Oryzias latipes: one gene and its partners. The protein of the gene in region 3 purifies or fractionates together with the protein of the main gene of each other region. This does not show direct contact. Links are inferred from orthologs where the notes say so. Each region holds a gene or a part of one and is shown on either strand. Other genes may lie near its edges. The genes, in order: ski, runx2 and smad1.

Region 1 (3,752 bases), on a different chromosome or scaffold from region 3:
CAAAGGTGGATAAAGGTGGAAAGATTTCATGTAATCCATGGACACCAGTGAAGATCACAAATCATTGAAGAAAAAAGGTTCAGAGCACTGTCTAGTGGGTCTAGATGACCCAACTCCCTAGCCCAAGTGGCTAGGATAGCACAAGGGATACACTGACCAATCAGATGCCTCAGTAAAAGTATGCAGTGCCCGCTGGCCCCCACCTTGAACATTTGATTGACAAATAGATCTGACAGGCTTTTAGTGGAAGGGTTTGGACTTCAGACAAGCCTACTCCTGATTGGTGACAGCAGTTGCCCTAGAAACATGACAGACCGACTCGGACCAACCACTGTCGTCTGGCTCCAAAAGGCGACGCCTGTTTCACAGAAGAATGCTGACTGAATTGGCTTCATTCTGCTGGAGCCAGAGGAGAGGGTGATGTCCCACTGCTTAGTCCAGTTTTATATCCAGTCCATGAGTGAAGCTCAGAGCCCCCCCCCCCCCCCCTTTCCCTGCATGTGTGTACTTGAATTTGTTACCTTAAGAGGACCTGACCTTACAGAGCCGAAGTTCAAAGTGTTGAAGTCTCGCGGGTTACATTTGAAGGATGAGGGTGAACTGTGTATGAACGGGGGGGGGGGGGGGGGGGGGGGGGCTTCTTGTGTCTGTGTGTGATTGGGTTGCAGCTTAGCTTTGCTTGCTTGCTCCAACTGCTGCTCAGTTTTTACACTAGTCCTGGTTCTCAAAGGTGAGGAGTTCTTGAGGAGTTAGACCTGATCTAAGCGTTTCTTTAGTCAGCTTTAGAACCATTTGATGACCAAGGTGACAGGAACCTCCGGCTTCCTAGACCAGCTTTACTCCACTCCACTCTACTGGTTTGTAGAGTGGTCCAGTGGTCCAGTGTTCACCGCTCAGCGAAGTATCAAACATCAGTGGTTCTTCTCTGGTCCAGGGGGGAGTGGGTGTCCAAATAATCCATTTTCAAGACCAAGAGTCTGAGTTTAGGGGTAAAAAGCCAAAGAACTGATGTAGGGTCCCTGGAACCTGAACATGGGTTTGAGGGTGTGGAGGATGGAAACAACGGCCCCCTGGGGGGCCACGGAGCGGTCCCCACCGCGGTGACTAAGGGCGGGGCAAGCCGTCAGCTCGTGAAGTTTAAATCAGAATAAGGAAATGGACAGAAGTCAACGGGACGTCCTGCGAGCTTCACTGTGAAAGTCCTCACGAGGATATCTGCGCACGCTTCTGTGTGTGCTCCTGCGCGTGCGCGCCTCTTGGGGGAGGGGGGGGGCGTTCGTGCCTGCGGAGTCAGTCGCATTCCTGGCCGGGATTCAATGACTGAGCCAGACACAAACACGGAGGGGGCGGGGGCGCGGGGGCGCGCACGGCGCAGGGAGGGCGCGCGCGCAGCCTGCTCTCAGACCTCACCCCCCGCACTGTCAGACTGAACTGCGGGGGCACACGCAACGGATCGGCGCAGTCCTCGACAGCAGAGGAACCTAAGACGGGATTTGTCCCCCCTCCCTTCAGGTGCGCTCGCGGAAGCAGGCGCGCGGAACTCGGCGGCTCTCCGGAGTTTGCTCTCCGGCCTCAGAGGCGCACAGGCGGCGCGCAGCCCGACGGACGGACGGAGCGGCCGGTCCGGCTGCGCTCTGAGTCCCGGACTTTCCTCTCCTCAGAGCGGGTGTTTGATGACGCGCCTGGTGGGTTCGAGTCACTGCGGGACGCCGTGGATTTTCCAGCTTCAGGAACGGATCCGTTTTCGGGACTCCCGGTCAGCAGCAGCAGCAGCAGCAGCAGCTCCGCGGATCAGTAAAGTTGCAGGGAAAGCATGGAGGCTGTAAGTCGGCAGAGCTTCCAGCCTCATCCGGGACTGCAGCAAACTCTGAAGCAGTTCCACCTCAGCTCCATGATCTCTCTGGGGGGCCCGGCGGCGTTTTCCGCCCGGTGGCAGCATGAGCTCCTCTTCAAGAAGGACGGGAAGGAGCCCGAGCCGGCGCTGCAGCATCTGCCGCCGCCCGTCATGCCGGGCCCGCTCTTCATTCCGTCCGACCGCTCCACGGAGAGGTGCGAGACGGTGCTGGAGGGCGAGACCATCTCGTGCTTCGTGGTGGGCGGCGAGAAGCGCCTGTGCCTGCCGCAGATCCTCAACACGGTGCTGCGGGACTTCAGCCTGCAGCAGATCAACTCCGTGTGCGACGAGCTGCACATCTACTGCTCCCGCTGCACGGCGGACCAGCTGGAGATCCTCAAAGTCATGGGGATCCTGCCGTTCTCCGCGCCGTCCTGCGGCCTCATCACCAAGACGGACGCCGAGCGGCTCTGCAACGCCCTGATCTACGGAGGAGCCTTCCCGCCGCGCGCCAAGAAGGAGCTGGGGGGCGCGGGGGCGCTGGAGCTGCAGCTCACCGACAGGAGCTTCAAAGTCTACCACGAGTGTTTCGGCAAGTGCAAGGGCTTGCTGGTGCCGGAGCTGTACGGCAGCCCGAGCGCGGCGTGCATCCAGTGCTTGGACTGCAGACTCATGTACCCGACGCACAAGTTCGTGGTGCACAGCCACAAGGCGCAGGAGAACAGGACTTGCCACTGGGGCTTCGACTCCGCGAACTGGAGGGCGTACATCCTCCTGAGTCAGGATTACACGGGCAAAGAGGAGAAGGCGCGCCTGGAGCAGATCCTGGACGAGATCAAGGAGAAGTTCGACTTTGCAAACAAGTACAAACGGAAAGCTGCGTCCAGGGTGAGCCGCGCGCGTCTCAACGTCTCCGTTCTACAGAAAACATGACAAAAGTTGTCGTGACAGACCTGCCTCCCCCCTTAGTCAGTGTTTGCTCATCTATCAGGTGGTTAGTAATGCTGCCCCCCTCCCTGGTGGCAATAAAACACTTATTTGCCTCTTGGATTGCCTTAAAACAGCCTTTATTGGTCAGAACAGTAGATGGAAGCTCGTCTGCCAACAAATGGCTCTCGGGAAAGTGTAAACACTAGAGAGTGGGGGTTGTCTTGGGGGTGGGGGGCGATGACGAGGGACATTTCTGCAGGTGTAACTTAGTGTTGGTCAGGGGGGGGGGGCAGCTCTGGACTGATGAGTCTGTGAGGTGGTGAGTTAGCTTAGAGTTGTGGCCGATGTAGGACCCCCCCCCACACACACACACACAACACCCCCATGGGGGAGAAAAAGCCAGCGTGGCCATTTGCATGAACTGTTCCACATCAATGGAGCTGATGAGGCAGGCTTTGGGAGCATTGTGGAGGAAACATAATATGATCCCAACAAAGAGGAGCATTCAGTAAACATGGGGACCCCCCCCCCCCCCCCCCACACACACACACACACTCCAGCTCTGCTTTTTCTTCTCATCTGATTTAAAGCTCGGGGGACATGTGGGGGAGGCAGACCCTCTGCAGCTGAGTGCTGGAGTCCTATCATGCGCAGAGAAAAGTCCTGCAGAGGGGGGGTCCTCCTCTTGGTCAGGAGGTGTGCAGGGGTCTCACTCCTTTTTCTTTAGTTCCACTCAAATCATCTTTTGAATTTTTTTCAGTGGTCTTTCAATTATAATGAGGCAGTTTTTTAGCCCAAATCAAAAATCCTGTGTGGTTTTCTGGGTCGCGGCTGTAGCTGCCTCCGCTGAGACCCCAAAGACGGATCTGCAGGTGGATGCATCAGAATGGAGCAGAGCAGGGGCTCTTTCATCTCAGTAGCTGGAGAGGCGGCTCTGCGTCACGGTGACAGAAGTGAGAGCAGAAGTCTCGCATGCAGACAGACAAAG
Region 2 (3,652 bases), on a different chromosome or scaffold from region 3:
AGTGGGGAGAAATGGAGGGAGAGAAGAAAGAGAAAAAAAAGGACAGAGAATGAAAGACAGAATCATCACAGGTCGACTCATCCAGAGGCTCCACATGTTGGTGCTAAATCATCACTAAAACATCTGTAGGGACAAATGGAGGGTTTGACTGTAAACAGATCTACCTGTTTGCCTTATTCAGCATCGTCTGAGTTGCTGAGATACAAAGATCTTTGTTGGTCTCACCCAGTCAGTAAACAGACCAGCAACCTCTCACAGTTTGTCATTGAGTCGGAGTGAAAGCAACAAAACGAAGCACAAAAGTTAGCTAAAGCGAAGATTAAGCGTCTTTTCTGTCCAGGGGCATAGGCGACATAGGGCGCCATCTGCTGGAGGGGGGAGCCAAATCCTAATCATATATATTTGTCTTGTTTCCCCCCACACCACTAATTTAATGTAAAAATAATAAAAAATCATAAATAAACATTTTTGAATAACTTTGCTCGGCGCTGCTGGCCGCCTATGCTAGGTGGAGGAGGGGCCAGGATTCCTTTTCGCCTAGGGTTCCATGCAAGCCAGGGCCGGCCCTGTTTCCGTCCTTTAGTGCTTTTACTTTGAAATCTAATATCACCGACACAAACAACAAACAAGCAAAACCTGAAACAGGCCGCCTACGGCTAGAATGACGTCATTCTGCGAGTGGTTCTGCAGATTCACACCGAGGCAGCTTCCTCTGAATGCTTTTTCACACAGCAGTGAAACTTTAAAGTCACACTCGGGTCATCGTTTGATCTATTTTCAACGAGTCCCAAGAGGTCTTTCAATTTTGATTTTGGCCTGAATTTAAAAATCCTGTGATGTTTTCTAGGACATAGTGTCTGCAGAGGGACAGCAGGAGTTCATCAGAAATTCACCTCTGAGTTGTAGCAGCAACCCCGCCCCCCTTCCCCTCCCTGTTGCTGAGAGCTCTCTGTATTATTACAAGCTTGTGGCCCGCCTAGCGTGCTTTCTATGTCACAAATATGCTCTTTTTCAAACTGCATTTTTTCGTCTGCTCCCGATTCACAACGATTTGAATAAGGAAATGATCAGAAATGCAATTTTAAGCAGAATTCTCTTTTTATATGTCCTCCAACATTAGACAAATGCTACAAGAACATGTTGAAAACACAATTTTCTGTAGAGTGGGTCTATAAAGTAAGCCCTGATGACCTGAGCTTTGAATGCTCTTGCCTTGTTTTGATCCCAGCAGTTCTGCAGCTTCAAACAGGAGATGTGTCCAACAAATCATCTGATATGAGTAAATATACATTTTGTGCAACATTGTACTAAAAAGCATTAATTACAACAAACATAGGGCTGCAAAAACAGTTTTAGCTGCAACATAAAGACAGAAAGTCTTAACAGTGATAACACTTTTGGATTCTCTTTTTTCATTAAAACACATTGAGAAGTAATTTTGCTGACATTTTGGTTCATGTAAGCACAAACATGTTTCAAATGTTTTTAAAACATTTATTCATTGTGTTATAAAGACTCTGTAAAGCCACGCTGCTAAAGTTTGTTATTGTCTCACTTATCAGGAACTGGATTTGTAAAACATTTCCAAAGACTTCATAGATTTGAAGTGATCCACGGTTTCTGGCTTAAGTTCTTAATAAGTTAAAAAAAAGGTCTTTTTTTCAAAATAGTAACAGAGGGGCGTTAGAATTGTTCTTAAATGAGCTTTTGTTTATTAGAAAGTGCGAGAAACAACTCCTGGACGGCCTGGAGAGCTTTGTCACACGACTGAAATGAAAGTTGGACATTCCTGTGGGTTGGTTGTAGCACAAAAACTGAACATTTGGCAAAAGTTTGCGCCAAGGCCATGAAACAGGTGAACAATAGGTGAAATAGAGGCAGCCCAGTCAAACAGCAGCTGTTATCACAGCTTTTGTGAGTTACTGACCATTTAATAAGATGCTATACTTTTAATAGTCGTTCTTTATGGGGTTAATTCTTCAGGTTGTTTTTTAATGACGAGCCCTAACCACATTCTGCAGTAATTATGTGAATATCTCAAGTTATCATCATCACATTTAATGACAAACTTGATTGCAGATCACTTTGACTAAGATATCGACACATCAGTTATTATGGACAGAACTTTAAAGACGAAATGTTCATATTAGATTTAAAATAAAGAAAATCTGGAAACTTTTTATAGTTATTTTGATACTTTATGGTCAATTTAGCTATTTGTGCTTTTTTAGATAATTGCTGGAAAGCCCTTATTTGAGCAGCTGCATCATTTTGGTGTCTAACTTTTGGAGGACATGTTTAAGAAAAGTGACTTGAAGCTTGAAGCTCTTTCCTGTTTTGGGTGAAGGGGCTTTTGGGTAGCTTGGAGCTGCAAAGATCAAACCACGTGGAGGGGAAGACAGGTGAGTGTAACCCCCAGGTTTTATTTAATTTAAATATGCACGGAAAAACAACCAGACAACAACTGTAAGGTCTCCTAATACCAGTAAGTGGTTTTACTTCCCGGACAATCAGAAAACTCTTTGGAAGGATCTGCAGAGGTGTCTGTGCAGGTAAAGGCCGACTTTGATGACTCACCTGTGATCTGCGTCTGACCCTGGGGGTTGAAGGAGTTGGCGGCTGTGTTCAGGGACGGCCTTGGGGGTTGAGTGGGAACGGCGACTCTCACTCGCATCCTTTCCAGCTCAAGTCGGTCCGGAAACAAGCCTGTTTTTGGAGGGTCCTCCAGCTTTTGACGATGCCCTGCGCAAACAGGAGGAGAGGAGGGGACGTTAAACGGGTAAGACGGGACAAAACAAGATTAAATCAAACACCTAAACGTATCCGATGTACTTCATTTGTTTACCGGGCTGCAATGGTGATTTCAGCACAATCAGTGTCGACCTATGACTGATTAAAAAAGGATCTTTATTCTCCAAAATCTAGTAACTCTTAACTAATCTAGTTCTGCTTTGTCCATGATGGCCATGAACGCACCACAGCAGCAGCTCCATAAAGTTACAGCAAGCAAATCCCAGCACCTCTTATTTTTTCTACACGGCGCTGGAAGCTCCCGGTGTTATGCCTAGTTCTGTCTTTCTGCCAACAACGACATGCTTTCAGTGGCAGCGCGCTGAGCGAAAGCGTCCACCCCTGAGCGAACGGTTTCAGGGAAAAACAACAGCGTAAAGCCCATCTACGTCACAGGAAACACCAGCAGCTAGCAAGCCTTGGAGCCTGAAAGGATATAAATAGAACTTTTTCTGGAGTTGAGTTGAGTTTGATTTTATTAAAGTGTCACGCACTATGTGCCCAGCCCCCATGGGCTTATATGACACTGGAAGACAAAATGCAGAAAAATGTCCATCACAAAAATACAATGACCCACCCAATCAGAGTCTAACAGAGTACAGAGTGTCCATTCTTCTTGTCCATGCCTTTGCAACAAAAATTTCCAAACAAAAAATTTCAATTTCAAAAAGCCAACGTAAAATTTTAGCTTCTGGAATTGAGCTGTTGTTTTACTAAGTTCTGGTTTGGTTTTCGGATAATCCCAAAGAGAAATTATGATTACAACACATAAAAACACACATTTTCTCAAACAGATTTCTGTAACAGAGATAGTGATGCATTGTAAGATTTTCTCTGGGTTCTTAAAAAAATTAAAGTTGCA
Region 3 (3,652 bases):
ATATATAAGAAATATTTAAAAACAAATGTTTCCAGGATTACATAATTTACATAATCCTGCCTGTGTCCCAGCTCTCCCGGGACTACCTAAATCTACCTAAATCAAGTGTCTTCAGCCTATCAGGATGTGTGATCACCAGAGTCATCTAATAGTGTTTGATATCCCCCAGGCGGACGCAGTGCTGCACAGATCACCTGCTGTGCGGTGTATGCTGGTTAGTTTTATGCTTCGTCACATGTCAATCATCATAAAAGCATCTCGAGAAAAAAGGGCGGGTGCAATGCGCCTACCCAGTTCAGCGCAGTACTAAATTTGTATCTGCGAGGCACCTTATCACTACAAAACAGTGCATTGTGGGAAACCGTGTCCTGACAGTTCTAGTAGTTTAAAGTGATGCTGGAAACAGCTGGTGCTCAACGATGCAAATCTGTGTATTTTGTTTGTAACTTTTATTTCTGCAAATAGGGATTCACTGATGAAAAAATAAACATTTCTTTTTTTATACAAATGTTTTTTTATACAAATAGTAATTGAAATCAACATAACTCAGATTACTTTAATTGTTTTATGTTTTCTACTGATAATCAATTTGGTTTTAACATCAGACAGACATTTGCATTTATGCTACAAAAGGAACCTGTAAGTACAGGCAGCACCAACCATCTGTGGTTGTTGTTGCCAATAAAAGTTAACTTCAATTTCAATTTCAATTTAAAAGCATCCCTGCAATAAGCCAGAATTTGCCCGGCGGTTATTTGTTATCTGTTTTCTTTGTCTACCTTAAAAGCTAAAAATAACATTTATAAAGGAATCATAAGACGACAATTAAAATAACTGTTAATAAAAAATAGGCTACAGGCAAAGCATTAAAATAAATAGAAAAGATATAACAGCACAGATCATACTAAGGGGGGAGAGTGTTAAGGACAACCCCAACTTCCTGTTCTCGTTCAGTCTCGCCGAACCAACTCACCTTAACAAAGCTCATGCGGATGGTACACATCTTAGTGAGCTCGTAAACTGCCTCAAAGCCATGGTTGACAGACTGGGCCAGAAGCTCAGCAAACTCCTGGTTGTTGAATATCTTCAAGCTGCATCTGCTGGGAATCTTGCACACAGTTGTGGGGTGGAATCCATGTTGGTAGTTACAGTTACGACTCTGGACAAATATGCTGCTGTCACTTAGACATTCTGCATACACCTCTCCTCCAACGTAATACAGATGGACGCCTAAGAGGTGAAACAGAGAGACAAACGTTTAATCACCATAACTTCAATGTCAGAATCATCAGCCATGAACCTAAAACAGTCAGATGTTAAGGTGACATTTTTGTTTTTTTATCCTGGTGCAGACCCTCACTTAAAATATGAATGGGCTTAATGTACCTTGTACCTTTTTATTATTATATATCATTTTCTTCTCAGAAAATTGTCAGGTATGCGTTATCCCCTGCCCTTTCTGTTTTATAGTCCCGTGGGAGAGGAGCTGATACGGGATGCTAACACTGTGGTTTCTATTTTCTTTTGGGAAAATTGTCAGATCCGCAATTCATAGAGGTGGTCTCCATGGGTTCTGCTGTGTCCCAACATCTTTTTACTCCTTAAACAACGCAGAAGGGATCCAGTTACACATCTGGTTAATGTACTAATAATCAAATATTTGCTACTGAATATTTGCTATTTGGATGACTTTATTGGAAATAAAGTCCATGATGGACTTTATTTATCCATCATGAGATAAATAAAGTCTTATCTTATCTTATCTTATCTTATCTTAACCCTTTCCCACCTGAGCTTGACATTGTTTCAACTACCGTCACTTCTCAACTGTTTATGCAAATAAAGGTCAAAGAGCGAGTTATATTTAGGTGTCCGCAGTGATATTTCTGGTTTTAAAACGGTATGGTCTTTACTTTGCCCTGGTCTGAACCCCCCCCCCCCCCCCCCCCCCCCCTTTTTGTGATTCCATTTTACTGAGTTAAGGTTTGTGTGTTCATATCAGAAACAAAAGCTAAGCTCCATAGGAACCTGCTTACGGGATTACCTTTGCCAATGTGCCGTCGGGTGTTCTCGATGGTGGAGTTCCGGTTCACATTGGAGAGCAGGCCGAGGCAAAATCGATTGCGATTGTTGGAGGGATCTGTGAAGCCGTCGACGAGAACACTGGTGGAGGAAGCCTGGAACGCTTCACCTACTCGATTGTTGAGTTCGTAGTAAACAATGGAGCACCAGTACTTGGGTTCTTCATAAGCCACTGGCTGCACATCTGGAGAGGACACTGAGAACATTCCAACATAGTCAGTCAGTCCACATCAATTCTAACTCACTCCTACAACAGAATCTCATCAATCGTTTTTTTAAATATTAAAACATAATATCTTTAAGACTTGAAGCAGAAAAAATGAATAATTTCATCATAAAGGTTCGCAGTCATTCCGGATTTCCAGTTACTTTTGCCAGAGTTCTGAGCTGGCCCCATCCCATAATTGAAAGGAACAAATCATGTGTATTTAGGTACATATGTCTCCCAAAATCCCTCTTTAGCATGGCACTGACTGGCAGGTGTGTTTTGTCTTTTGCCTAACTGGAGCTGGTACACAATAGAAACCTGCTTCCGGTGCAGGATGCAGCTTGTGGAGCAGAAAAAGACGCACCAACTCCCACTTCCAGCAACAGATTTGTTTTGAGCAGCTGCGCCCGGTACCATTATCTGTAGAAGTGTCCAGAATCTCTGAGATTTGGTGTGCAAAATTGTAGACATTTGTAGAAGCAATAAAACAAAAAAAACAAAAAAAAAACATACATGGGTCTGATATTATTCAAGAGAGTTGGGAGGCTTTTTAAAATAAAACTGTATAAATGAGCCGTTTATGAGCTGGACCTTTATTGTTATATGAATGAGGGTACTGAGCACAGCCGCTTCACAAAAATAAGAACCTTGGTTCTGTGTGGACCGGAGTTCTGTTGTGTGGGATTCCTTTTGAAACAACTGGCTGCCAATCACAGTCCGTTCTGTTGACTATTGAGGTGTTCCCACCTATTGCGTAATAGATACACTTCTAGTTCATTGAACCTGAAGATGATGAAAGACAACTGAGCAACTTTAGAAAAAAGTAAACACAAAATTAAAAAAATCCAGAGTACCCAGACAAGGTGCTGTAAGTCTGATTAGGGATAGTCATGAATATTTAGATTGGAGTTTGGCAAAAGCATACAAAGTGTGTCTTTATTTTCTGTCCATCCATCTTTTTTTTTTGATTTAGCAATAGCTGAATGCTTCTTTTTCATATTAATGAAATCACATTTTTGCACGTAATATTTTTTCATAATACTGTCACTAATAATGGAATGAAGAGTTTAGGCGTCATAGTCAAAAAATATTAAAAGTATATGAACACATAGACTAACATCCTTAAGTTTTTGATCTTTAAAACAGGATTTTTCCTGCATAAATATTTTAGTGGAGGTCACTACCACTAATTAGATTAGCAACACAAGCTCAAGCTGTTTAACAGAATGTGATCTGGGCTGTGATATTATGTGCAACCGCAGTTGGACACTCCCACTTGTCAGGGTGGCAGCACGATACCCAAATATAGGTATGAATCTAGGAAACTCCCAGCCACAGGTAGCTAGGGGTGTAAGGATATAC

The links.
Region 1: the proteins of smad1 (region 3) and ski purify together in Homo sapiens (affinity purification with western blotting, with the first as the bait; 3 studies listed by BioGRID). This does not show direct contact. The link is inferred for Oryzias latipes from reciprocal best matches to the Homo sapiens genes SMAD1 and SKI.
Region 2: the proteins of smad1 (region 3) and runx2 purify together in Homo sapiens (affinity purification with western blotting; 3 studies listed by BioGRID). This does not show direct contact. The link is inferred for Oryzias latipes from reciprocal best matches to the Homo sapiens genes SMAD1 and RUNX2.

What each region holds. Positions count from the first base shown.
Region 1 is NC_019865.2:32,981,547-32,985,298, forward strand, and holds the start of ski (ski oncogene), read left to right. Parts: upstream 1-1,374; 5' UTR 1,375-1,813; coding exon 1,814-2,722; intron 2,723-3,752. UniProt on the Homo sapiens protein: May play a role in terminal differentiation of skeletal muscle cells but not in the determination of cells to the myogenic lineage. Functions as a repressor of TGF-beta signaling.
Region 2 is NC_019882.2:3,172,695-3,176,346, reverse strand, and holds part of runx2 (runt-related transcription factor 2), read right to left. Parts: intron 2,743-3,652; coding exon 2,578-2,742; intron 1-2,577. UniProt on the Homo sapiens protein: Transcription factor involved in osteoblastic differentiation and skeletal morphogenesis. Essential for the maturation of osteoblasts and both intramembranous and endochondral ossification.
Region 3 is NC_019859.2:18,368,607-18,372,258, reverse strand, and holds part of smad1 (mothers against decapentaplegic homolog 1), read right to left. Parts: intron 2,279-3,652; coding exon 2,045-2,278; intron 1,231-2,044; coding exon 974-1,230; intron 1-973. UniProt on the Homo sapiens protein: Transcriptional modulator that plays a role in various cellular processes, including embryonic development, cell differentiation, and tissue homeostasis.